Canis lupus familiaris: one gene and its partners. The protein of the gene in region 5 interacts with the protein of the main gene of each other region in a biochemical or structural test. Links are inferred from orthologs where the notes say so. Each region holds a gene or a part of one and is shown on either strand. Other genes may lie near its edges. The genes, in order: SHC3, BCAR3, RASA1, GRB7, ERBB3, TNS2 and HCK.

Region 1 (3,500 bases), on a different chromosome or scaffold from region 5:
CTTTAATTCACTTTTTAAATGTCTTATTGATTGATTGATTGATTGATTGATTGATTTTAAAATTCAGTTTGCCAACATGTAACAGCCAGTACTCATGACATTATGTGCCCTCCATAGTGCCCGTCACCCAGTTACCCATCCCACCATGCACCTTCCCTCCAGCAATCCTCAGTTTGTTCTGTAGAGTTAAGTCTCTCATGGTTTGTCTCCCTCTCTAATTTTTCCCCACTCAGTTTCCCTCCTTTCCATTATAATCCTTTTCAGTATTTCTTATATTCCCCATATAAGTGAGACCATATGATGAATGTCCTTCTTCTATTGACTTACTACTCTCAGCATAATACCCTTCAGTTCCATCCACATCAATGTAAATGGTACATATTCATCCTTTCTGATGACTGAGTGATAGTCCATTGTGTATATAGACCACGTCTGCTTTATCCATTCATCTGTCAATGGACATCTTGGCTCCTTCCACAGTTTGGCTGTTTGCAAATGCATCAATGTGATAGATCACATTAATAAAAGAAAAGATAAGAACCATATCATCCTCTCAATTGATGCAGAGAAAGCACTTGACAAAATACAGCATCCTTTCCTGATCAAAACTCTTCAAAGTGTAGGGATGGAGAGAACATACCTCGACATCATAAAAGCCATCTACAAAAAGCCCACAGCAAATATCATTCTCAATGGGGAAAAACTGAGAGCCTTTCCCCTAAGATCAGGAACACGACAGGGACGTCCACTCTCACCACTGCTATTCAACATAGTACTAGAAGTCCTAGCCTCAGCAATCAGACAATTAAAAGAAATAAAAGGCATTCAAATTAGCAAAGAAGTCAAACTCTCCCTCTTCACAGATGACATGATATATGGTATATGGAAAAACCCAAAGACTCCACCCTAAGATTGCTAGAACTCACGTGGCAAATCAGCAACTCATACAGCAAATTTGTGGCAGGATACAAAAATCAATGCACAGAAGTCAGTTGCATTTCTTTTCTTTAGAAAAAAAAAAGATTTTTATTTATTTACTCAAACACACACACACACACACACACACACACACAGAAGCAGAGACACAGGCAGAGGGAGAAGCAGGTTCCCTGTGGGGAGCCCCATGCAGGACTCCATCTCAGGACCCCGGGATCACGACCTGAGCTAGGTGCTCCATCAGTTGCATTTCTAATTTTAAATGTGTTGCTCCCTCAAACATCTTCTTGCTCTTTCAATAACTCAGAGACCTGGTGACTATACAGCGTCTGATGGAGAAGGAGCGACAAGTGAATTAAGACCTAATGTCCGACGTACGTGTCCATGTATATACATATAACCATCTCTTGGTTTGATGTTGAGACTTTCCCCTTCCTGACGGCTGTTTGTGCCGGGGAGTAAATGACAGTACGGTTTTATTTTATTTATTTATTTATTTATGTATGTATGTATGTATTTATTTATTTATTTATTGACAGTACAGTTTTAGAACTTCCCCCTGGTGAGACCGTCTCAGGTGTTGCCTACCCAGCTGCAGGGGGACCTGGATGTGCTGGGCTGTCACAGGGTTGGGCCTGGCCAGGGCCACCACGTGGCTCCATCTAAAATAGGACAGACTCAGCTAACCTGAGTCATCACTTTGCTGGAGGCACGTTTTTCCTATGTTTCCATCTTTGTTCTACAAACACTTAAAATGTATTTATATAACAGATGTGTACCTAACCACATAATACTGCGAAGGCCTAACAGACACATTATTTACATTAGATATTGACTTTTTTGGAAAAATGTCAGGTTCACTTAAAAATGAGGTCTTTTGTTGTATGTTCCAGCCACCCTGGCCGGATCAAGACCAGACAACATAAAGACTCGCCAGGGCAGACACGTGCCTGAAACTTGGGGCTCCTATGCCTCAACAAGCTTCTGCTTCTCATTTGAAAGCAATAAATATCTTCTTCTGTTGAATAAGAATGTCCTTTGTTAACTTGCTGGCAGCCATCATCCCTAACTGAAAACTAACTCCCGGCACCCTCATGGCCTGTGTGTCCCCTGCCCTAGCTCCGCACCTGCCCTGGTCTGAGAGGGAAAGGGCCATCGTCAGGAAAGCTGTTCACTGGGATTTTCATCTTCTCCTTTTAAAAAATTAGTCTGTAGAATCCTTCCTACAGGCTGATTTGTTTGCAGCACCTACACACACGAGCTGCAAATGGCCACGGCTGAGCCAGGACAGGTAACTCAGGACACGTGAAGTGGTGTCCAGGAGTAGGAGTGGAGACCGTTCTTGACTTTGCTGGTCTCACTCCCCACTAAGGACTTTTCCCGGGACACCTGCGTTCTCATGCATGTTTTGCTGCCAAAAGCCCCACTATGGGTTCTGGGGAGCCTAGAAAGCCCTCTTGCCCACAGGACTGGGCTGCCCATAGGGTGTGAAAGGCACTTCTCTCCAGAGATGGCCCTGCAGAAGGGTATATCTGTGTGTCAGGTACAGGGCTCCCATTGTGCCCTGAACAGGTGTGATCACCCAATACCCTCACCCCTCGGGTGACAATGGCAGGGCCCTCGCTCCTGGGCTGGCCTTGGCTTGCTCTTGGCCCAGCTGAGAGGTCCCCTTGAGGCACTGCCTGGGGGTAGGGGTCCTCGATCACACGCCCACCTGGGCCTCCTGCACAGAGCTGGGGGCATGAAGGCTGGGAGACTGTCCTGGACAGCGCAGAGCAGTGGTGACAGGGTCCGAAGAGGAGCATGTAGGTGATGGGGACCCGCGGGAGGCGTTACCTGATGGATGGCCCATAGGAACGTCTCTGTGAGGTGCGGGGCAGCTCACCTATGGTGCCCAAATGACCAGAGTTTCCATTGTAAGAGGAAAGAGGGTTCGTCTTCTTGTTGCAGGGTCCTTGGACATCTACAGCACGCCGGAAGCGAGAGTGCCTGCGGCCCCCGGAGAAGCCCCCACCTACGTGAACGCCCAGCACATCCCCGTGCAAGCCACGCCGGCCTCGGGCAGCAGCACCGAGAGCAGCCCGCTGAAGGACCTCTTCGACATGAGTGGGTTGCCATTCCTCTGAGCTCTCTGCACTGCTTTCGGCTTGACATCTGTGCAGTTAGCACGCTTTCTGCTAGCGGGGTTTTGGTGAACAGGGATGCCTTTGTGCACTTTTCTGGGTTGTGATTGGGCTTTCCAAGGCTCTGAGCTTGGCTGCCCTCTGCTTTGGGATGGCACCCCCTCTCAGGTCTAGAAGCAGAGCCATTTCTCCTCTCTCTGGAATGACTGTCCTCCTGGAGATCTGCACATGTGTCAGGACAAATGATAATACACACAAAACAACACTGGTTTGTGTATTCACTTAAATCTTAGTGGGCTGATAGGTGCCCAATACTGGATCAGTTGCTAAGGCTGCCACGGTGAAAGGCATGCTTCACAGAGCCCTCAAGTCTGTTGAGCAAGACAACACCTGAGCAAGAAAGGGCGATACACCCTCTGGCGGGCACACACGTGCTCACTC
Region 2 (4,212 bases), on a different chromosome or scaffold from region 5:
TCCATTCCCGTAGGGGAAGGCCACTGGGCCCGGGCCCTCGGCATGGCCAGGAAGTGATGTGTGGGGTGGCCCCTGGTCCCTGCCCTGGGATCAGGAATGCATATGGCTCCACTGTTGTAGCTGAGACCTTTGTTCCTTTCAGGCCTTCGCGGGCCTTTCGTTAACCTCCTGCCCAGGGTCCCAGGGAGGAGCGCCTATCTTTAACAAAGGATGTGGATTTCCTGCTTGGTTTTAGTTTGTTTGAATTTTATTTTTGTCTCAAAAGCCTGAGACATCTTTCTCTGCCACACAAGCCAAAAGAAAACAAGCCTTGGGAGGTGGACTGTGGGGACTGGACATGCCCAGAGAAACAACCTGTCCCAGAGATAGAATCTCAATTTTGGACTGGGGGTAGGTAAAGGAAAATGAGGCCTACATGATAGCCAGTGAAGGAGGCTGGGAGTTTTAAACAGGTGGGACTGGAAGGCAGGCCCCCCGATTGCTCTTCCTGGTAAAGGCTGGTGGGTTTTCATGCTGGAAAGGCTGCCTTGCTCACATTTTTCATCCTGTGTGGTCTCTAATTGGAAAGGGAAGTTGCATTCCAGTGTGAAAAAGAAGCCACTTGGCTACCTCCCTCTAGGGACTTCACGGCAGGGCCTCTGTCCCTGCAGACCTAGAAAAAAGGGCCGGCTCTCTGTCCAGGGCAAAAGGGGCTTTGGGCAAACCAATTGGGTGGCAATAAAATGATTAACAAGGGCGAGAGATTGATCCCATTGGGGCTCGGACAGTGCTTGGGGATATCAGGCAAAGTGAGACATAAGAGAAGCCCTAGAAAGGAGAGTAGGGGGCCCCTTGAGTTAAGATGCCAGCTGCTGATGGCTGGGGGCCTACAGGAAAGAATTGTCATCCCAACGGTCTCATCGTAAGTGGTCTTCTGAGGTCTGTGTCCATTACTGGCCAATAGCACCTTCTAGGCTGCTTCCACTTGGCCAACACTAACTACAGGCCAATATACCTGCGGGAGACCTTGTTTGTTGGATTATTTAGAAACTCCCAGGAGATAGACCCCCATCCAACTTGTACCTGTAAGCAGAGCCTGCAGAATTCAGAGAGCTGCCTTCAATTCTTCCTTGTCCAAGAAGGAGCATCAAGCCATCACATTTCATGCTTCCTGCTGGCATGGTGAGGCTGCATCTACATAATTGGTTATCCAGTATGAGCAACCCCAAAGCCCCTCCTGCCCCCCAGCTCCAGTGGCAGAGGATGGACACTCTCCTCTGAAAAGTTTTTCCTAATGGATTTTTTGAGAGGTGGCCCCTATTCTGGGATGAGCTGTAGGAGAGGATGGCAGAAAAGAGATAGAAGGTCCCCTCTGCCTCACATACTCCACTGGAGTGTCTCTTCTACCCCTGACCTGCCTTCTGTACTGGAGGGTACCTCCTGCTGGGGCTGGAGGTGTTCTCAAGAATGTCTCCCCACATCCCACCTGCAAATATCTCTGAGAGGAGCAAGCCCTCCAAGCTGCTATTAGCCAATACCCCAGAAAGCAACATCCTGAAGGGCTCAAGGGAACTGACGAGCAAGGGAGACACTATGAGACCTACCTTGTTTAAATACCAGCCCCCAGCTTTCTATCCTACCACCCTCTTCTCCCCCCACATGACTCTTCCTCTCTATCCCATGACACTCATTGCCTCCTAGCAACACTACAACATATAGCTACCTGTTCATGCTTGCTATCTACGTCCCACCTGATGTAAGCTCCATGAGCGTAGAGACTTTAACCACACTTGTTCACCAATATTGGTGAATATTGTTCACCAATATGTTCCAAGTGCACAGAACATTTCCTGGCACCTGGTAGGTACTCAAAAAATACATATTGAGTAAATGGGCTGAATGTGGGATATGGTTGCATTATGGTATGTGAAATATTAGATGAAGCCTCCAAAAATAAGCATAAGTTGGGCCTGTGATGCTCTTAAAATGGCCCGGCCTGCCCTGTATTTCCTTTGTTGATGAAGCTGAGAATCTTCCCATGTGTTTACCAAACATTTGTGTGGGTTTTTTTTTTTTTTTTCTCTGTGTGTGAAATGCCTGTTTTGTCTCTTGCTCATTTAACCCCTTGGATTGTTTGTCTTTTTCTTTTAGACTTATAGGAATCCTTTATATATTCTGGAAACCAATCCTTTGTGATTATATGCATTTCTCCCAGTTTGGAGTTTGTCTTTTAATTTTCTTTATGGTGTAATAATTTTATTTTTTTAAAGATTTTATTTATTTATTCATGAGACACAGAGAGAGAAAGAGGCAGAGACACAGACAGAGGGAGAAGCAGACTCCCTCTGGGGAGCCTGATGTGGGACTCAATCCTAGAACCCCAGGATCACCCCTGGAGCCAAAGGCAGACTCTCAACCACTGAGCCATCCATGTGTCCCTATGGTATAATAATTTTAATGTAGTTTCATTCATTAATCTTTTCTTTTAGGATTAGTACTATGTCTTATTTAAGGATGCTTTCCCCCCCCCAGAACTCATAAATAGATTCTCCAGTATTTTTTCTAAAAGTTTTAAAGTTTTGCTTTTACATTTAATTCTTCAATCTGTTAAGAATTTATTTTGGGGGATGAGGCAAGTAGATAATTTGTATTTGTTTCTGTCTAGATTCAGAGTGATGCTATTAATCTGGGACCATTTAAGCCCCTTAAGAGTTTCTTGGGTTCAATGTGGCCATCTTACCTTGCTACTGGACCAAGGCTCCCATGCCCAGACTGGCTCCCATATTGACACTTATTCACAGGTCGACTTTTACTCCTGGATGCAATTTTGGATTCATCTTCCATATTCTGGGGAGAAAAGGTTGGAAGAGAACTTAGTCACCATACTTCCTGTAAGCCTAGCAATGTCTTCAAAATTATACTTCATTTAAGAATTCAGGATCTAGGGGCACCTGAGTGGCATGGTCGGCCAGGCATCCGACTCACAATTTTTTTTTTTAAGATTTTTATTTATTCATTTGAGAGAGAGAGAGAGAGCACACGAGTGGGGCCAGGAGGCAGAGAGAGAAGGAGAAGCAGACTCCCCGCTGAGCTGGGAGCCCCATGTGGGGCTCGATCCCAGGACCCGGAGACCACAACCTGAGCCAAAGGCAGATGTTCAACCATCTGAGCCACCCAGGTGCCCCTGACTCATGATTTTGACTCAAGTTATGATCTTAAGGGATGTGAGATCAAGCCTTGCATTGGCTCAGTGGGGAGGCAGCTAGAGATTTTCTCCCTCTGCTCTTCCCCCTTGCTCATGTGCTCTCTCTCTCCCTCAAATAAATAAATCTTAAAAAAAAAAAGAATTCAGAGTCTAAGAGTTTTATAATGGGACAGTATTTCAGCATATCTGTGGTCCACCAACTCTTACCCTCTATTCAGAGAGCAGATACATTTTAATTCAGACTGTACACTCTAGGTCAAACTACCAACTTAAGAAACAATTACTCTTGCAAAAGTAATACACATTCACTGTACAAAATTTGAAATAAAAAAGTACAAAGAAGAAAATTTAAATAATCTATAGATAAGTTCCCATCCTAGGGTATAACATTTTTAATATTTGAGTGTGTGTAGTGGTTTGAGTGTGGTCTCCCAAAAGTTGTGCCCACCCAGAACCTTTAGATACTATCATTATTTGGAAAAAGGGTCTTTGTAGATGTAATTAAGTTATGGATCTCAAGAGGTGCCTATCCTGGATTAGTGTGGGCCCTGAAACCAATGCTAAGTCCTTAGAAGAGGAGAAAAGAGCTAAATAGACATGGGTAGATAGGCATGTGAAGACAGGAGGTAGAGACTGGAGTCAGGCAGCCACCAGAAACAAAAGAAAAGATTCTCCCCAAGAGCCTCTGTAGGGAGTGTGGCCCTGCTGACACCTAGATTGTGAACTTCTGGCCTCCAGAAATGAGAGAGAATAAATTTCTACTGTTTTAAGCCACTCAGTTTATGGTAATTTGCATTAGCAGCCCTATATAACCAATGGTATAGATCTGTTATAGGTCAACTTCCCCAAAAAACAGCTTCAAAAGCAGAGATTTGCATACAGGTAGTTTATTGGAGAATTCTCTCAGAAATGATGCCTGCAGGGTTATAAGAGAGGTAGGGATTGGACAGGGGGAGAGAGAAACTGAGAGGTGGTTGTCACAGAGGCCTCAGCCTATCCAGGAGCCCTGACGCTGGCACGGCCTTTTA
Region 3 (3,500 bases), on a different chromosome or scaffold from region 5:
ACATCTGTAACATTTACTGTCTTGACAACTCCTTATTTATTCCAGTATACTTACTCTGAGGAAGCAGTAGCTTTAGGAACACTAAGATTTTCTGAAATACTATAGGAGTATGAATTAATCCTTTTTATAGAGACAGGCCTATATGGTGCTAAAACTCTCATTCTCTCACTTCTTTCTTTCCTTATTTAAATAGAATAGCCAAATAAAATCTGTATAAATCAAGTTGATTATAACTGATTTTGCTGGTGAATCCTAAAAATAAGAATCCATTCTAGTAGAGAAAAGTGACTTCTTGATAAATGGAAATGTATACAATAGAATGCTATAAATATAAAGCTTTTATTAAAAAGACCTCACTTTTCACCTTCTCCATTACAGAGAGGATAAGTCAACTTTATGACATTTACTTTCCAACCTAATGACAGCTTACTACTTTTTGGACTCTTAGAAAATGATTGTTACTTCTCAGATACCATTTATTGCAATTATAATACACAATTATCAGCTCTTTAAATATTTTTTTAAACTAATTTATGAAGAATCTTGCACAAATTTGCTTGAAAACATTTTGATACTTGTTTGAATTTGAACCATAACCTATAATTTAATCATGAAAGAATTTCAGTATACAAATCTATTTTCTGTGAATTTGTAAAGGTGATTTTAAATTTAAAAGGAATACTAGATACATACATATATATTTAAAGGCTTGTTAGTAGGGACAGAAATCATCACCTTGGGCATCAATACCCCTTAAAAACCCTATCGTGTCAGACGATTCACACAGCAGAAATTCCTGCTGTGTTTGCTTAACAATTATATTTGTTTGAAACAGTTTACAGAGGCTTTAATTTACATCACACACAAAACTGTGCTGAAACTTATGCCACTAGTGAAAAAATAGAGAATCTGTCATTCGTTCTTATGTCATATCATTACTAACCAAGAGAAATATTCTCTACGAAAGTAGAAGCCTCTTTACAAAACTTTGGTTGAGGGCAGGATTAACACTTTTTTTTTCAAAACTAAATGTATGCTATTGGTGTCTTCAGTGGTTGTCTAGTTTTTGTTTTTTTGTTTTTTTTTAATGGGATATAACATGACAGCAGGATGTATTCTACTGAATCTATTATTAGTAGACCCCTATATTCTCTGATGCTTTGACACTGATTTCCAGTGGTCTTCAGTGGGCCGGGTGTACCTATCAAAAGCCTACAATGGTGTCAGAGATCTGACTGGATCTTAGAAGGCTGGCCTTTAGTTCTGCCTTAGTACGACCCCTTTCTATATAAAGTTAAGCAAACAATTTTAACTTCTACAGATCTGCTTCCTCATCAGAAAAAGTTAAAATAGTGATATCAAAGTGTGTCCCGCTGCCGTACAGGAGGTACAACATCCTGTGACTTGCCCAAAGCAATTCCTCCTAATTACTGTGTGGCAAGCTCACTGGAACTGGAGGTTCTGGCTTGGAGCTTAGCACAGAACCACTGCTACAAACCCATCAGTCAGCACCGCAGTGGTTCCGTTATTGCTCTTCCTTGGTAGCACCACATCAAGCTCTGTTTCACTCCTCCCACTCTTCCCTTCCCTCTTCTTCCTCTCTAGATGTATGTACATGCGTGTAGGTAATGTGATGTGTATACGATTACTACTATATAAAGTTAGCTAAAGAGTTTGCTGGTTATGTAACTTTTAACCTTTCTGTCCACAGGATAAAAATTCCCAATAGTGAATTGATTATACGTAAGCGTTGAGGTTTTCAGAAATGCACAAAGTAGCTAAATATCTCTTGGTAACGTCCCCCCAAAAATAAAGTTAAAACTTAGTAGCTGTCCGAACTCAGCCAATATTCAACAGGGTTCTGAGATAAAAGTAAAATAAAAAAGTCTTGAGTTGTATACTGTTACTCCAAATTTTCAGCCACTCTGCATACTATACACAATGATATATAACAAGTAAATTGATGAGCCTTACCTAACAACTCTCGTTCTCATGGTGGTATTTGTAGGCCACTTGTGCTGGACAGATTTCTGTAAACACCCATAAATATATCTCAGTGTCCTGCCAAAACAACACAATCATCTCAATACACAAACCAAGGGAAAAATGCTGATCTCATTGCTGCCAGAAGCTTAATTTAGTAAATACACATATGAATGCAACTGGCCTTTCCCCCCAAAAAAGTACTCTGTTACAAGGAAGGAAGGACACACTCAGCAAGGGATAAGGAAAACAAATAGTTTTCATCATCATTTAGTCAATTCTTTACATTTACTTTGGAAGAAATCTTAACATTCTTACAGTGCCTCTGTATTAATGCGGGGAAAAGTACCGGAAATAAGTTCAGATTCCAGTGATATAGGATAACTTCTACCTAAATAAGTGAATTCACTTACACTAAAAGCTATTAAGCAGGTACAAACTGGTGTCCGTTTAACTAAGATATCTATGATCTCAAATCTGAGATTATAAGTCTCTATTCATGACCCAAGTTACTATATAAACCAGACATGTTAGCCTGTATGAAAACACAATTTTGTTTTAATGTAAATATTTCACCACCATGGTTTCTTCAAGTCACTCTTTTGCCTTAAACACAGTTTACCTTGTAAAGACAAAAAAAAAAAAAAAACTTCCAGAGTAAAAAACATTAAGATAGTTCAAAAGTTTACATGTTTTAGAAATACAGATTTTTCAAAATGCAGTACCGTTTGTCAAATTAAAATTTCACCACTTACGGTGGAAGTATTTCTGAAGCCATGAATATTTTCTCCACAAGCTCTGAAAGTATGTTCAATAGGTGTGCTAAATTAGTGTTCACGTCTTCATTTTTTTCTAACTTTGATGGACTTAACTAAGAGAAGGAATAAATTAATATAAATGCATCTTGGCAATGATAAATGCAAATGAATCAAGGTAAACAGTAGTTCTTCAAGGTTCTCTGTTTTTCCATTTTTCAATCTGTTTTAGCTCTTGGGGGGGGTGGGTATAAATGGGAATTCTTAAGTAGTTTGCTCTATGGAACTCATTTACCACTGATTCCCAATTACTCAACTGTACAATAAGCAGTGATTACTCAGAACATTTTAGTTGCTCTGGGATTCATAACAGTGATAAAGTTCTCTTATTCATTTACCACAGATTTTTAATAGCCACAGAAATTAGATTAGACTTTATTTTTAAAACAATATTCTCAACTACAAGACAGAAATCCAGCTTTAGTGATCACATACACATAAATATACTGAGTATTTGAGAATAATGATCACCATGTATTATAAAATCTTTAATTATATTTGAAACAACCCTCATATTAAAATAGAAAGGCTTTTCTGAATGCTGTAGACAGAATAATGAACCTTTCTCAAAATTTTTCCAGTAGCCCTTGAAAATCTAAGACTTCTGATCTAGAATCAGTGGAGTAGATTCATCTACGTAAGTCTGAATTCCCTAGCCTGAATCTAAGGACTCAGCCAGAGACTCTCTGCAGACTTACTTCA
Region 4 (3,033 bases), on a different chromosome or scaffold from region 5:
GCAGATAAGTGCCCCAGGTCACACAGCAAATAGAAGTAGAGCCAGGACTCAGATTCAGTTCCACCTGCCTTTCCCACTACCTTCCTGGGGTAGGTGAGTCAGGAGGGAAAGAGGAGCAGCTGAGGGTCTCAGGTCCCAAGGGGAGAAAGATCCAGGAGTTCCAACAGGGAAGAGACAACAGATAACTCCTAGAAGGACCGGGAAGGGGATATCCTAGGGGCAGAGGCTGTCAACCCTCAAGACCTCACCTTGGAGGTGCCCTTGGTGGAGTAATAGAGGCCAGACCGGCGCAGGAAGCAGAAGAAGCGTTTCCAAAGCTTCCGTCCTGACCCTCGAAGCTGCAGGAAGCCCTGGATCTCTGGGAAGCTGCCTGCATTCAGGAAGTTCTGAGGCCAGAAGAGAGCAGGAAGAGGGTGAGAGGCCAAGAGGGAGACAAGGGAGACACACACACACACACACACACACACACACACACACAGCTTCAGAAGAGAAGGTGCTCCACATGCATTTATTGTTCCATTTCACAGACCAAGAAACTGACACTCAGCCAGGAAGGAGGGACTTGTCCAGTCACCTGGGACTGTGCGAGGCTCCCCACCACATAGAGGGAGGCACAATGCTTGAGGACCAAAAAAGCAATAGGCGATCCTGGGGAATCATGAATATGCCATGGAATGGGGGTGTCCCTTTACCTGGATAAGGTCTTCGTGGGATAGGCCTGTGTGTGCGTCCACACAGCTGGAGACCATCTTTTCTGGGAACAGGGAGTGCTGGGGGGAAGAGTCAGGAATCAGGGACGATGGGCCCAGGCTGGGGGCCCGGGTGTCCCAGTGCCCAGACGCCCTTCACACACACTCACCGGAGAGCTCTTGAACAGTTCGTACTTAGCGAAGTTCTTCCGGAAGACAAAGCGGCTGTCTCCCCCAATGGGCCAGGCAGCCTGCACTTCCACCACGGACTCATGGTCCTCCAAGCCCCGCTCTGGAGTCAAGGGCCGAAAGCAGTGGTCAGCGGACACCAGACAGGCCTCCCAGGGGGGCTACCTGCCTAGCCCAAAGTGTGAAGCATTGCCTCCCTGCCCGAGACAGCCCCTGGCACCCCAACTCACCTAGTGCTAGATGGGGGTGGCACTCCACCAGCCCCCAGTTTTCATCACTCAGGGCATGAGCTCTCTGCACCAGCATTTCACACACGTAGCGGGCTGTAGCACCTGCCGCCACCTCCACAGACCGGCAGGCCCCATCTTCACTGTACACCTTTACTACCTGCACCCCAGGAATTGCAGGTGACTTGAGGAAGGGTGAAGGGGGGTTATTTCCCTTCCCCTGCCTGCTATATCCTCAGGGACTCCTGACTGAATTTCCCTCCCCCCTCCAGGGAGGGGGCACCCTACCCGCCTCAGTCCCATAGCACCCCCATATCCCTGCCTTCTCTCTCCCAAGACAACTCACATGGGGGCAGCTGGCATCTCGAGGGAGCAGCCCCCTTGCACCAGAGGACCCCCCAAGAATGGGGGTCTGTGAAGGAGGACTGCAGAGCTCAGGGAAGGGGTTGGGGATGGAAGGCAGAGAGGTTGACCGTAGCTCTTCCTCTCGAAGAAGATTCCTGTGGCCCGAGGTGGGGGATGGGGAGAGAATTTGTTGACTTACCCAACACTGACTGCCCCCCCCCCCCCACCAGCCCCTTCTCAGCTCCATCACCGCATTGTACCTGCTGGTCGGAATGGGCAGAGGCTGGGACCTCTTCACTTCCCCAGGCAGAGGAGCATCGGGAGGTGGGGGAGTCCCAGGAGGGGTCCCAGGAGCCAAGTACAGGTCTTCTGGGGAGCTGCTGAGATGAGGTGGAGACAGACCCAGCTCCATAACATCTAAGGGAGAAGAGGTGACTGAAAGCAGCTGCTCGTGTGCCCTTGTCCTGCAGAGAAGGGCCAAGTGGACCCAGACCTCCAGACTTCACACCGCTGTAAAGGTACCCCTCCGAGTTGACACGGCACCTTACTGCTCCCCCTCTAACTGGAGTTTCCCTGGAACCTTTGGGGAAGGGTAGCATGAGCCCATTTACAAGAAGGGGACATCAAGTCCCTAAGAAGGAAGCATCCTTGCCCCCATCACAGGTGAGTCAATGAGTGGAACTTTGATGGAACTTTGTTGTTTTGACTCCAAATCTAATGCTCTTCTGTTGGCCCCACATTGCTCAGGGGAAGAGCTAAGAGGGTACCCCCGCACACACCAGCTGGGCAGCAGCAACAGACTCCATGACCCACATACGGTCGAGGCTGACTCTGTCTCTGAGCTTGCCCCGAGCATGGGACACTCACTCCTCTGGGCTTTGCCCCGGGTTTTTCCAGTGCTTTGTTGCCAGATCTAGTTGCCAGAGCCTGTTGTGGCAACGCCTGCCCAAGTGCTGAGTGATGGCCAGAAGGGGAGAAGGAGGTGGAAAAGGACAGGAACCAGGAGGGCAGGAGGCAGACTCAGACAGGACTAGCCTGGGGACCCTTGCCCCAGCAGCCCCTAAACCTTGCGTGCCCTCTCCAGACTCCTCCTCCTGCCCAACTTTCCTGAAGCCCCAATGCCAAAGTCACCTCCTCTGAGCAGCCTTCCTGGATTTTCCGCCTTCAGACTGAAGGGCTCCCTCTCTGCACTGGCCTCTGTGCCAATGAAGCGCACCTGTTTTGTCCACCCACTGGTCTGGAGCCACCCAGCACTCCCGGGCAGGGCCAGAGTCTCACCCACGTCCTAGCACCCACAGGTGCTGCAGAGGAGGGCAAGTGAGGACAGGAGAGCAGAGGCAAAGATGCCCACTGGGGACAGAGGCAGCACAGACCCCTCTGGCAGGGCTAGAACCTGGGAGGACCTGGGAGAACCTGAGACCTAGGCCAGTGCCTTGAGGCAGCCTGCAGCACCTGGCAATGGAGCAGGCCCCTGACCCTTAAGTGAGGGGATCTGGGGGACAGGTGAGTCAGGGTGGGGCGGGACAGCACTGCCTGGGGCTCTCTATTCAACCTTGACTCATCTGCACGACTTCCTGGCTTAG
Region 5 (3,500 bases):
TAGACCATGCCCACATTGTACGGCTGCTGGGACTGTGCCCAGGGTCATCTCTGCAGCTCGTCACTCAGTACTTGCCTCTGGGTTCCCTGCTGGATCATGTGAGACAACACCGTGGAGCACTGGGGCCCCAGCTGCTGCTCAATTGGGGAGTACAGATTGCCAAGGTGAGAGGAACCTGGCTGGTGGCTGGCAGGGAGGTTGAAGTTCTGAGAGGTGCCCTTAGGGTTTGGGAGGATTCTGGATCTCAAGGATCAGTTCCACCCAACTTTGAGAATACGTCCTTCCTCTGTAGGGGATGTACTACCTTGAGGAGCATGGTATGGTGCATAGGAACCTGGCGGCCCGAAATGTGCTACTGAAGTCACCAAGTCAGGTCCAGGTGGCAGATTTTGGGGTGGCTGACCTGCTGCCCCCCGATGATAAGCAACTACTACACAGTGAGGCCAAGGTGAGGTGACACAAAGGGCTGGGTAAGGAGGTGGGGGTGGAGTGAAGCATGGGAGTAGAGAGTAGTCAGTGGTCTCCTTCAGAGGCAAATGGATGCTGCACAGTACATTTGAGGAGAGGAACCTGGAGATGGAAATTCAAGTTCAGAAAGCAACAAAGAAAGGAATGAGAGAGAACTTGGGGCAGAGAAGTGGTGAGAAAATTTGTGGAAGTCAACTGATGACACTTTTGCCTTTAAATCCCCAGACTCCAATTAAGTGGATGGCCCTGGAGAGTATCCACTTTGGAAAATACACACATCAGAGTGACGTCTGGAGTTATGGTCAGTCCCTTTGGATACCCTCCATACTGTCACTGGTCCAAATTCCATAGTTGCCTTTTGAGAGACCCCCTTTTCAGAATTTCTGAGCCCTTCAGATCCTTGTGTGAGATCAAGTTCTGCTTTCCCTTCATCTTCATGCCCATGTCTATTATTTTGCCATCAACTAGTCATATCTTCCTCTACCAGGAGTGACAGTTTGGGAGCTGATGACCTTTGGGGCAGAGCCCTATGCTGGGCTACGATTGGCCGAAGTACCAGATCTGCTAGAGAAGGGGGAGCGATTGGCACAGCCCCAGATCTGTACCATTGATGTCTACATGGTCATGGTCAAGTGTGAGTTACTTGCTGATCCCAGCCATTTTCTCTTTCTTTCTCTTTATTTCTTTCTTTAAATAATTAATTTATTTGAGAGAAAGATCGAGAGAGCAGGGAGAGGGGCAGAGGGAGAGGAAGAGAGTCCTAAGCAGACTCTGCACTATGCAAGGAGCCTGATTCAGGACTCAATCTCATGACCTGAGCCAAAACCAAGAGTCAGATGCTTAACTGCACCACCTGGGTGCCCCCCAGCCATTTTCTAACTGCTTTCCCTCCCTACTCTACTCCCCTCTTATGGCTCTGCTTCCTACATCTTGCCACCAGGCTGGATGATTGATGAGAACATCCGTCCAACCTTTAAAGAACTAGCCAATGAGTTCACCAGGATGGCCCGAGACCCCCCACGGTATCTGGTCATAAAGGTGAGTAGTGGTTAGGAGTTGTCAAGGAGATCTAGAGGAAGGGGGACTTGGCTGGAACTAGGATCCATCTTAACAATCACCTGCCCCTACAGAGAGAGAGTGGGCCTGGAATTCCCCCCGGGGCAGAGCCCCCTGCTCTGACAAACAAGGAACTGGAGGAGGTGGAGCTGGAGCCAGAACTGGAGCTAGATCTGGACTTGGAGACGGAGGAGGATGGCCTGGCGGCCACACTAAACTCTGCCCTCGGTTTGCCAGTTGGAACACTTAATCGGCCCCGTGGGGTAAGGCATTTCCCAGTTTTAAGACTCTGCACCCTGAGCCCTCTATCTACCTAGACCCTCATGAACCCCACTGATGCCCAGATTAACTACTTAAAAGCCCCCAGGGTGAGTAGATTTCTCCCTTAATCTAAACCTTCACTTTTTTCATCCTAGAGCCAGAGCCTCTTAAGCCCATCATCTGGATATATGCCTATGAACCAGGGTAACCTTGGGGACACCTGCCAGGTAAGGTCTGTCTCTTTAAGGGGCTGCTGAGAAGCTGGGTGGCAGTTTCTTAGAATCCATAGGGGCCATGTGGGAGGCTTTAGAAATCCTTGAGGTTTAACCAGTGCCCCACAAAAAAGAAGGCATCGAACAACCCAGTCTCTTAAAGGAATACCAATTTTTCCTTCGTCTCTGTATAAATTTCCATGTATTACTTTCCTCCTTTAGGAGTCTGCCATTTGTGGGACTGGTGAGCGGTGCCCCCGTCCAGCCTCTTTGCACCCAATGCCACGGGGACGCCTGGCATCAGAGTCCTCAGAGGGCCATGTGACAGGGTCCGAGGCTGAGCTCCAGGAGAAGGCATCAATGTGTAGAAGCCGGAGCCGGAGCCCACGGCCACGAGGAGACAGTGCCTACCATTCCCAGCGCCACAGCCTGCTCACTCCTGTCACCCCACTCTCCCCACCAGGGTTGGAGGAAGAGGATGTCAATGGATATGTCATGCCAGATGCACACCTCAAAGGTGACTGACTCTTCCTAGAAATCTTTCTCTGATCCCTGCCCCCAGGCTCCTCGTCATCCTTTTGTCTTCTCTGATCTAATCCCTCCCTTTGCATAATTTCCTCTTTCCCCCAGTTCCCACCAGCTACTACCATGTTCTCCACATACCTACCCTCTCTTCTCAACCCTTAGGTACTCCCTCCTCCCGGGAAGGCACCCTTTCTTCAGTGGGCATCAGTTCTGTCCTGGGTACTGAAGAAGAGGAGGAAGATGAGGAGTATGAATATATGAACCGGAGGAGAAGACACAGTCCACCTCGTCACCCTAGGCCCAGTTCTCTCGAGGAGCTGGGTTATGAGTACATGGATGTGGGATCAGACCTCAGCGCTTCCCTGGGCAGCACACAGAGTTGCCCACTCAACCCTGTGCCCCTCATGCCCGCTGCTGGCACAACCCCAGATGAGGACTATGAATATATGAATCGGCGACATGCTGGAGGAGCTCCTGGGGGAGACTATGCAGCCATGGGGGCCTGCCCAGCCGCTGAGCAAGGGTATGAAGAGATGAGAGCTTTCCAGGGGCCTGGAAACCATGCTCCGCATGTCCACTGTGCCCGCCTCAAACCTCTACGTAGTTTAGAAGCCACTGACTCCGCTTTCGATAATCCTGATTACTGGCATAGCAGGCTTTTCCCCAAGGCTGATGCTCAGAGAACATAACCCCTGCTCCCTGAAGTACTCAGGGAGCATTTCATGGCAGCTAGTGCCTCTAGAGGGTACCCCTCATCTCCCTAGTCCCTTCCTCACAGGTCTCAGTCCTATTTCCCCAGCCCTAGACAATTCCATTCAACCTTTGGAGGCTTTTAAACACTTTGACACAAAATTCTTGATATGTAGCCAGCTGTGCACTTTCTTCTCTTTCCCAATCCCAGGAAAGGAGATTTTCCCTATTTTGTGTGCTTTCCTAAACCCATTCGTCAGCTTCCTCAGGGGGACTCCCTGGAGATAT
Region 6 (3,500 bases), on a different chromosome or scaffold from region 5:
TGCTCCCCGAGACACTCCAAAGCATGGCGCAGCAGGTACCAACCCATGTGCCAGCGAGCAAGTGTGAGGCTCTCCTGGAGGACCAAGAGCCCCTTGACCCTGGCCCCGACTGACCCTACACCCGCTCCCTCTTCCAGCCCCACCCGTCTCTCTCCGGTCGCGGCCCCCACCCTCAGTTGTACCCCCACACCCGCCCAGGTCCAGGACTTCGGCTGGCCCGAGCTGCACGCGCCCCCCCTGGACAAGCTGTGTTCCATCTGCAAAGCCATGGAGACGTGGCTCAGTGCTGACCCACAGCACGTGGTCGTACTGTACTGCAAGGTGGGCTGGGACCTCGGGTTCACGGGGCTGGGGTGCCCTGAGCCTGGGGCGCCGGCTGGCCCTCCATTCCCCTCTCTCTCTCTCTCCCCCTGTCCTCAGGGGAGCAAGGGCAAGCTCGGCGTCATCGTCTCCGCCTACATGCACTACAGCAAGATCTCTGCAGGGTGAGGCTCCCTGGCCCCTGACCGGCCCCTTCCCCAGTGACCCTGTCTCCAGCTGCCGGTGATGGGCCCATCCCCCTTGAAGCCCCCCTTTGTGTTTGGAGAGCCGTTTCCTATAAACTTGGCCTTTCCACCTCCTTTTTTCACTTGTATCTCACCACAGTTCCCAGCAGAGGATTTGTATCAGGTTCCCAGAGCTGCTGTAACAAAATGTCACAGACTGACTCAGTGGCTTAAGACAACAGGAACTAGTTGTCTCCCTGGAGACTAGGAGTCTAAAACCGAGAGGCCGGCAGGGCCGCGCTCCCGCTGAGACCCCGAGCAGGACCCTTCCTTGCCCCTGTCTAGCTTCTGGTGGTGACCAGCAGTGCTTGGCGCTCCTCGGCTTGCCGCTGCGTCCCTCCAGCCTCCGCCGCGGTCATCACGTGGCTTTCTTCCTGTGTGTGTGTCTGTGTCTGTCTGTCTCTTCTCTTCTTCTAAGGGCACCCATCATAGTGGATTAAGGGCTCATCCCTACTCCAGTATAACATCTTAATTAATTCCATCTGCAACGACCCTATTTCCAAATAAGGTCACGTTCTGAGGTACATATCTTTTGGGGAGACACAGTTCAACCCATAACATGGTCTCATCACCCCCGTTTTACAGAGGAGGAAACTAAAAACTCAGGGAACACTTGCCTGAGGTCCAGCGAGTAGTCAAGTGACTGTATGTGGGGCTTCTAGTTCTTTCCACCTCCACCCCGGGGCTTCCTCTAGAGTTAGGGGATCACACATCTCCTCCCTCCCCTGGGGCTTGGGGTTGGGAGGCCTGGACAGATACCAGCCCCTAATCCCCCACACTTGGCCCTGCGGTCCCCAGGGCAGACCAGGCGCTGGCCACGCTTACCATGAGGAAGTTCTGCGAGGACAAGGTGGCCGCGGAGCTGCAGCCCTCCCAGCGCCGGTGAGCAGCCGGGGTGGGGCTGGGCCACCGGAGCAGCGCGGGCCCCGAGGCCGAGGGTCGCTCGTAGGAGCAGCACACCCGCGGGACACAGGGCCTGCGCTGAGAACTCAGGCCCAACACGGTCCCTGCTCTCACGGAGCTTGTGGGAAAGACAGACTTGCAGGACAGTCGGAGCCCACCTCGTCATGGGAAGCAGAGGGCTGGGGGGAAGAGCAGGCTAGGCGGGGGAGCCAGCAACTACAGACCTTTGAGACGGCAGAGGGTTGAGGTTAGATGTGAGGAAGAACTTTCCAGTGAGCCGGGAGACGGGAGGGGCGTGCTGAGAAGGGCCGGCCTTCCAAGGCTGGGCAGGGGTGTGCTTAGTAGAGATGAAACAGAGGGACCTCCAGGGGCGAGGCTTACGTCCCCCCCTCCTGCCCCCGACCCCCGCAGGTACATCAGCTACTTCAGCGGCCTGCTGTCCGGCTCCATCAGAATGAACAGCAGCCCCCTCTTCCTGCACTACGTGCTCGTGCCCGTGCTGCCAGCCTTTGAGCCCGGCACCGGTGAGTGTGCCCCGAGGCGCCCCGCGGGGAGGCCTGTCCTCCAGCCCCTCCGCTGAGCGCCCCTCCGCGCCCTCTCCCGCCTGCCCCTCCAGGCTTCCAGCCCTTCCTCAAGATCTACCAGTCCATGCAGCTGGTCTACACCTCGGGAATCTAGTGAGTGCTCTGCTCCCGGCCTTCCTGCCCTTCCAGCCTCCCCAGGCGCCCCCGCCTCCAGCTCCGGCCACTGCACCTGGTGCACCAGGAGGGAGAGGCTGATGCTGAGCAAGCTGGAGGCGTCTCACTGGGGCTCAGACCCCAGGCTCGCGGCTCCCTCCTGACGCCCCACACCCCCGCCGCCACCCCAGCCCCACTGCCTCCCATTCAGCCTCTGTCCCGTCCCTCTCCTCCTCAGTCACATCGCCGGCCCCGGGCCGCAGCAGCTCTGCATCAGCCTGGAGCCGGCCCTCCTCCTCAAGGGCGATGTCATGGTGAGGGGGCCATCCTGGGGAGGGGGTGCATGGGGGGGCGAACGCGCCAGCTGCACGGTCTCCCGTGAGTCATCCAGAGGCCCACTGGCCGGCGGAGAGCCCGTCCCCAGCGAGGGCATCGCCTTGAGCTGAGGCAGGGCAGAGCCGCAGCCTGACAGTCCCCAGGACGGAAGCACAGAGGGGACGCCAGCGGACAGGAAGGCCTGACCCCCGGTCTCCCTTCCCTCATCCAGGTGACCTGCTATCACAAGGGTGGCCGGGGGACAGACCGGACCCTTGTGTTTCGAGTCCAGTTCCACACGTGCACCATCCACGGACCACGGCTCACTTTCCCCAAGGACCAGCTGGACGAGGCCTGGGCTGGTGAGTGGGAGACAGGTGTGGGGCTGGAGCCCGGGGAGGGGGCGGCCAGGGGACCTGGCTCCTCACCGTGTCCCCCGCCTCCCCTCCCAGATGAGAGGTTCCCATTCCAAGCCTCCGTGGAGTTCGTCTTCTCCTCCAGCCCTGAAAAGGTCAAAGGTGAGAGCCAGCCCCGGTCGGGCCTACAAGTCGGGGCTGCAGGTCGGGGCTGCAGGTGACACCCCGGCCCTCAACACCTGGGTGGCCCTTCCGCAGGCAGCACCCCACGGAATGACCCTTCGGTCTCCGTTGACTACAACACCGCAGAGCCCGCCGTGCGCTGGGACTCCTACGAGCACTTCAATCAGCACCACGAGGACAGCGTGGACGGTGCGGGGCCGGCCCGGCCGCCCACTCCCTCCCTCCCCGCCGCAGACGCCCCTGAGCTGGAGCCTCCGGCAGGCCCCGACATTCACTCCCTCCCTGGTCCTCTCCCGCCAGGCTCCCCCACCCACACCCGGGGACCTCTGGATGGCAGTCCCTACGCCCAGGTGCAGCGGGCCCCCCGCCAGACCCCGCCGGCACCCTCCCCGGAGCCACCTCCGCCCCCCATGCTCTCCGTCAGCAGCGACTCCGGCCACTCGTCCACGCTGACCGCCGAGCCGGCCGCCGAGTCCCCTGGCCGGCCTCCCCCGACGGCCGCCGAGCGCCAGGAGCTGGAC
Region 7 (4,061 bases), on a different chromosome or scaffold from region 5:
AGTTGAGAAACCCTGTGTAGCCCAGCACTCAGCACAGTATTGCTGAATGAATGAATGAATGAATGAGTGAATGAAGAGATGACGGTGGCCTGAAATGGCTGGTAACAGAGGGAATACAGAAAAGCTGTAAAATTCTTACACATCTTGTGTGCTTGGCAGACTTTAGTGCGACAAAGCTCTTTTTCCAGAAGCAGTTGTGCTCTGCCCTTGCCTGGTGCTGGGCACATCTCATTCATGTGGGGCCTCCAGGTGCCCTCCAGCTGGGCATCCTGCCTCCTCAGTTTTCAAAGTCCTCTGAGCTTCCCAGCTGCCGGAAACCGCCAAGAATGAGCCAGGGTGGTGCCTGCGGGTGAGAAACTTTGCTTGCCGTTTGAATAGCGCGGGGCCTGTGGAGCGGAAACCGCTGACCACAGAAGGACCAGGAAGGCCTGGGACACGGTGTGGGGGAGGGGCCTGGGCTCCAAGAGTGGATTGGAGTGTAGAGAAAACCGATCAGAATGCTTGGGGCGGGGGATTAGAATCCTGCGAGAGTGCCGAGGTAAAGGTTTAGGATCCTTGTGGGTCACGTTAGAATCCTTTGATGAGGGGTTAAAGTCCTTGAGGGTAGGGTTGGAATTTTTGGATGGATCGGATTGGAATCCGAGGGGGGATTAAAATCCTTTGGAAACAAGATTGGGATTATTCGGGAGCAGGATTAGAATCCCTGGGGTTAGGGTTATGAATTTGGAGGGCTGGGTCAGAATCCTTTGAAGAGAAGGGATAAAATCCTTCCGTTGGCCGGATTAGAATCCTTGGGGGACAGGATTAGAAATCTCCTGTGGGTGAGGCTAAAAAATCCTTCAAATGTGAAATTCAAAATCATTTGGGGGCAAAACGAGGATCTTGGCAGGAGACGGTGTTGCGGTTCTTGGGAGGACGAGTTTAATCCCTTTGGCGACCACATTAAGGTTTGGGGAGGCGGGGATTATAATGCATTAGGTTAAGTGCTTGGAAGAGGGCGTGGGGTTAGGATCTTTGGGGGACGGATTAAAATTCTTAGGGGCAGGTTTATTATCCTTCCGGGCCAGGGTTAGGATCCTTAGGGGCAGGGTTGGAAGCCTCTGATGGGCGGCGTTTAAAAAAAAAAAAAAAAATCCTTGAGCGGTGGGATTAGGGTGCTGGGAGGAAGGGCCTGGGATGAGAGTCCACGCTGTGGGGTCAGAGTCTTCAGGGGCGGGGTTAGGATACACGGGGGTGGGGTTAGCATCGCTCAGGGCGCGGCTAAGGAGCCCAGATGGCCTGTGGGTGCCACCGAGTCCCCGGTCCCAGCCCGAGCGCACCGCTGAGGCCGAGGCGAGCAGGAGGGGGCGCCGGGGGTTCAGCGCCAGGGGAGCCCGAGAAGCCGCGCGGCGCCCAAGCCCCTCAGAGGCCGCCCTTTGCCTTTTCTCCAAAGTCAGCCCGTCTCCCTTCGGGTGCGGGCGCCCCGGGAGTCCGGGGGCTGCTGAGCTGGGGGGGCGTTCGAGCTGCGAAGATCCGGGCTGCCCGCAGGAGGAGGAGCGGGCGCCCAGGTGAGTGGCGCGCGGACGGCGGAAGCGGGAGGGTCTCCGCGGCGGGGGACGGTGGGGGGAGCCCAGCGGGGGGGCAGGGCCGGCTGGAGGGCGGCAGGAAGGGGCGGTCCGGGAGCGGTGGACGCGCGGAGGGACCGGGGGCCCGCGACGAGGGCCGGGCTGGCCGGGCTGCGTGCGAGCCTGGAGGAGCCCTAGGGGAGAGGAGCCCCGGCCCCCGACGGACTTGGGTCCAGCCTCCGCTCCTCTGAGCCGTCCAGGTTCCCCTTCTGCAAAAGAAAAAAACGAGAAGGAAGGGATGAGGCTCTACCGACCGAGAAGGGAAGGCCCTTACGGCCCCTGGTGGGGGTGGGTGACGGGTCACGGCAGGTTGGCGGCGGGTTGGCAGCCCGTGGTGGGGAGGGGGACAGCTGGCCGGAGGCGTGCGGTGCGAACCACACCCAGGCGGGCCTGCAGCTGGGCCCACTCTGCGCTCCCTCCTCCTCCCGCGCTGGGCCCTGATCCCCAGCAGGTCTGGGTCAAACCTCAAAACCTCCTGGACAGACCACAGGGTGTCTCCCCGCCTCCTTTCCGCTTCGGTGAGACCTTGGGCCGAGTCGTGCTCCCTTTCCGAATTCCAGTTTTCTCCTCCGTCAGATAGGGCTAGATTCTTTCTCCAAGGCTACAGTGAGCTGGAGTCTGTGGGGGTCATGCAAGGGGAAGTGGGATTCTGGGAGCAACCTGCCTGTTGACCTTTAGCAAGGGATTTGGTCTTCCTAGGCCTCTGCTTTTCCACCTATAGGATAGGGATATTAATAATAATGACTCCCTCCCAGGGTCGTTTTGAAGGTTAGGTTAAGTTATTCATGGAAAGCTCTTGGAGCGTTAGGTCACAGGTATAGGTGCTTAGTACTCGTGAACTATTGTCGCTATTACCGTCTAGCCAGTGCTTCCCAAATGTTAGCAGTACACCTGGGAGGCTTGTTAAAACACAGATTTCTGGGCCCTGACCCCAGAGTTTCTGATTCAGTAGGTCTGGCTGGGGAATCTGAGAATTTACATTCCCAGGTGATGCTGCTGTTGCTGGTCCAGGGACCACACTTTGAGAACCATTGCTGTAGCCTTTGGCCAGCACAGAGAAAGACTTCAATAGATATTGGTTCCTTTATCCCATGGATTTCTCTTCACTATCCTTTTTTTTTTTTGGGGGGGGGGGGAGGATATTAAAATAAAGAAAAGTGAAAGAAATAATATAGTAAATATCCCATGAACCCACCACCCAGAATTAAATGTTTCCCTCTGGCTTTTTAAAAAATAAAAGTCTTAAAAGTAACAGATAATACTGAAGCCTCTCCACTTGTCTCTCTCAGTCCTGTTTTTCTCTCTGCCCAGAGGCAACCAGTCATGAAATATAGTCCTTTCCAGTCTGTGCCTTTATGAATTTATTACATAGATATGGATGCATAAATAATACATAGAATTGTTTTTCTGTGTTTTAAAGATCTCCAAAAACGCTATCCAGCTGTGAGATTCTTCTGCAATATCGTTTTTCTATTCCTTGCCTTATCATTAAGTTGTCAAGGTCTAGCCAGGATGAGAAACAAAGGCATGCATAGTTCATTCTTTCTCAGGGCAGTATTTCTGCAAGTGACCATCCTATCTTATTTCTCATCCCCCAGTTGTTGGACATTCAGATGTGTAGCAAGGCTTTTACTACAATAAACTATTCTGCTGGGACCATCCTGGATGTATGGCCCTGGTGAAGGTGGGAGGGTGCAGGTGTTTCTTGGGAAAACACTGAGGGCTGGATGGGTCTCCAGAGGGGGCATCTGTGAACCTCTCTTGTGTGCAAGGAGGACTGAGACCTGAAAGGGTCACCCAGGTAGTCTGGATCAGAGACGACAGAGAGTCTGGCTCTGCTGACCTCCCAGGCCTCCTGTTCCAGGTCTGTTTTCCACTGCAGGAGAGCAAAGATCTTCATTTGCCTGACACTTGGTAAAAACTCAAACAATGGAAGAATGACTCCTTTTTAAAGTTTTTTGGGGCAGCCCAGGGTGGCTCAGTGGTTTAGCGCTGCCTTCAGCCCGGGCCGTGATCCTGGAGACCTGGGATCGGGTCCCATGTCAGGCTCCCTGCATGGAGCCTGCTTCTCCCTCTGCCTGTGTCTCTGCCTCTCTCTCTCTCTCTCTCTCTCTGTGTGTGTGTCTCATGAATAAATAAATAAAATCTTTTTAAAAAAGTTTTTTGGATAACAGATATTTTAGTTTACTTTTGTGTAGTCTTCTTTTCTGTGTGCTTTTTATTTAACGTAATCAGTAAACTGCTGTGGTATACAATTTTCATCCTACTTCTTTGCTTAGCCCTATATTATAAACATTTATCTATGTCATTAAAATCTCCTAGGATTTTTTTAATTGTCAATTTATTTTTTAAGTTTATTTATGTATTTAAGTAATCTTTACACCCAACGTGGGGCTCGAACTCATGACCCTGAGATCAAGAGCTGCATGATCCTCCAACTGAGCCAGCCAGGTGCCC

What was found.
Region 1: the proteins of ERBB3 (region 5) and SHC3 form a complex in vitro, tested with the Homo sapiens proteins (2 studies listed by BioGRID and IntAct, with this or other methods). The link is inferred for Canis lupus familiaris from reciprocal best matches to the Homo sapiens genes ERBB3 and SHC3.
Region 2: the proteins of ERBB3 (region 5) and BCAR3 form a complex in vitro, tested with the Homo sapiens proteins (2 studies listed by BioGRID and IntAct, with this or other methods). The link is inferred for Canis lupus familiaris from reciprocal best matches to the Homo sapiens genes ERBB3 and BCAR3.
Region 3: the proteins of ERBB3 (region 5) and RASA1 form a complex in vitro, tested with the Homo sapiens proteins (2 studies listed by BioGRID and IntAct, with this or other methods). The link is inferred for Canis lupus familiaris from reciprocal best matches to the Homo sapiens genes ERBB3 and RASA1.
Region 4: the proteins of ERBB3 (region 5) and GRB7 form a complex in vitro, tested with the Homo sapiens proteins (2 studies listed by BioGRID and IntAct, with this or other methods). The link is inferred for Canis lupus familiaris from reciprocal best matches to the Homo sapiens genes ERBB3 and GRB7.
Region 6: the proteins of ERBB3 (region 5) and TNS2 form a complex in vitro, tested with the Homo sapiens proteins (2 studies listed by BioGRID and IntAct, with this or other methods). The link is inferred for Canis lupus familiaris from reciprocal best matches to the Homo sapiens genes ERBB3 and TNS2.
Region 7: the proteins of ERBB3 (region 5) and HCK form a complex in vitro, tested with the Homo sapiens proteins (2 studies listed by BioGRID and IntAct, with this or other methods). The link is inferred for Canis lupus familiaris from reciprocal best matches to the Homo sapiens genes ERBB3 and HCK.

The regions. Positions count from the first base shown.
Region 1 is NC_049222.1:97,790,375-97,793,874, forward strand, and holds part of SHC3 (SHC-transforming protein 3), read left to right. Parts: intron 1-2,886; coding exon 2,887-3,042; intron 3,043-3,500. UniProt on the Homo sapiens protein: Signaling adapter that couples activated growth factor receptors to signaling pathway in neurons. Involved in the signal transduction pathways of neurotrophin-activated Trk receptors in cortical neurons.
Region 2 is NC_049227.1:55,859,888-55,864,099, reverse strand, and holds the start of BCAR3 (breast cancer anti-estrogen resistance protein 3), read right to left. Parts: upstream 2,801-4,212; 5' UTR 2,720-2,800; intron 1-2,719. UniProt on the Homo sapiens protein: Acts as an adapter protein downstream of several growth factor receptors to promote cell proliferation, migration, and redistribution of actin fibers.
Region 3 is NC_049224.1:21,209,550-21,213,049, forward strand, and holds part of RASA1 (ras GTPase-activating protein 1), read right to left. Parts: intron 2,855-3,500; coding exon 2,739-2,854; intron 2,062-2,738; coding exon 1,975-2,061; intron 1-1,974. UniProt on the Homo sapiens protein: Inhibitory regulator of the Ras-cyclic AMP pathway. Stimulates the GTPase of normal but not oncogenic Ras p21; this stimulation may be further increased in the presence of NCK1.
Region 4 is NC_049230.1:22,698,345-22,701,377, forward strand, and holds part of GRB7 (growth factor receptor-bound protein 7), read right to left. Parts: intron 1,868-3,033; 5' UTR 1,863-1,867; coding exon 1,711-1,862; intron 1,606-1,710; coding exon 1,452-1,605; intron 1,266-1,451; coding exon 1,109-1,265; intron 982-1,108; coding exon 860-981; intron 771-859; coding exon 693-770; intron 387-692; coding exon 249-386; intron 1-248. UniProt on the Homo sapiens protein: Adapter protein that interacts with the cytoplasmic domain of numerous receptor kinases and modulates down-stream signaling. Promotes activation of down-stream protein kinases, including STAT3, AKT1, MAPK1 and/or MAPK3. Promotes activation of HRAS.
Region 5 is NC_049231.1:771,852-775,351, forward strand, and holds part of ERBB3 (receptor tyrosine-protein kinase erbB-3), read left to right. Parts: coding exon 1-164; intron 165-292; coding exon 293-448; intron 449-693; coding exon 694-769; intron 770-955; coding exon 956-1,102; intron 1,103-1,408; coding exon 1,409-1,506; intron 1,507-1,598; coding exon 1,599-1,787; intron 1,788-1,940; coding exon 1,941-2,012; intron 2,013-2,219; coding exon 2,220-2,514; intron 2,515-2,684; coding exon 2,685-3,211; 3' UTR 3,212-3,500. UniProt on the Homo sapiens protein: Tyrosine-protein kinase that plays an essential role as cell surface receptor for neuregulins.
Region 6 is NC_049248.1:44,543,468-44,546,967, forward strand, and holds part of TNS2 (tensin-2), read left to right. Parts: intron 1-198; coding exon 199-321; intron 322-420; coding exon 421-485; intron 486-963; exon of another isoform or gene 964-1,066; intron 1,067-1,343; coding exon 1,344-1,427; intron 1,428-1,859; coding exon 1,860-1,972; intron 1,973-2,064; coding exon 2,065-2,125; intron 2,126-2,363; coding exon 2,364-2,439; intron 2,440-2,672; coding exon 2,673-2,802; intron 2,803-2,892; coding exon 2,893-2,958; intron 2,959-3,054; coding exon 3,055-3,168; intron 3,169-3,279; coding exon 3,280-3,500. UniProt on the Homo sapiens protein: Tyrosine-protein phosphatase which regulates cell motility, proliferation and muscle-response to insulin. Phosphatase activity is mediated by binding to phosphatidylinositol-3,4,5-triphosphate (PtdIns(3,4,5)P3) via the SH2 domain.
Region 7 is NC_049245.1:21,973,118-21,977,178, forward strand, and holds the start of HCK (tyrosine-protein kinase HCK), read left to right. Parts: upstream 1-1,261; 5' UTR 1,262-1,547; intron 1,548-4,061. UniProt on the Homo sapiens protein: Non-receptor tyrosine-protein kinase found in hematopoietic cells that transmits signals from cell surface receptors and plays an important role in the regulation of innate immune responses, including neutrophil, monocyte, macrophage and mast cell functions, phagocytosis, cell survival and proliferation, cell adhesion and migration.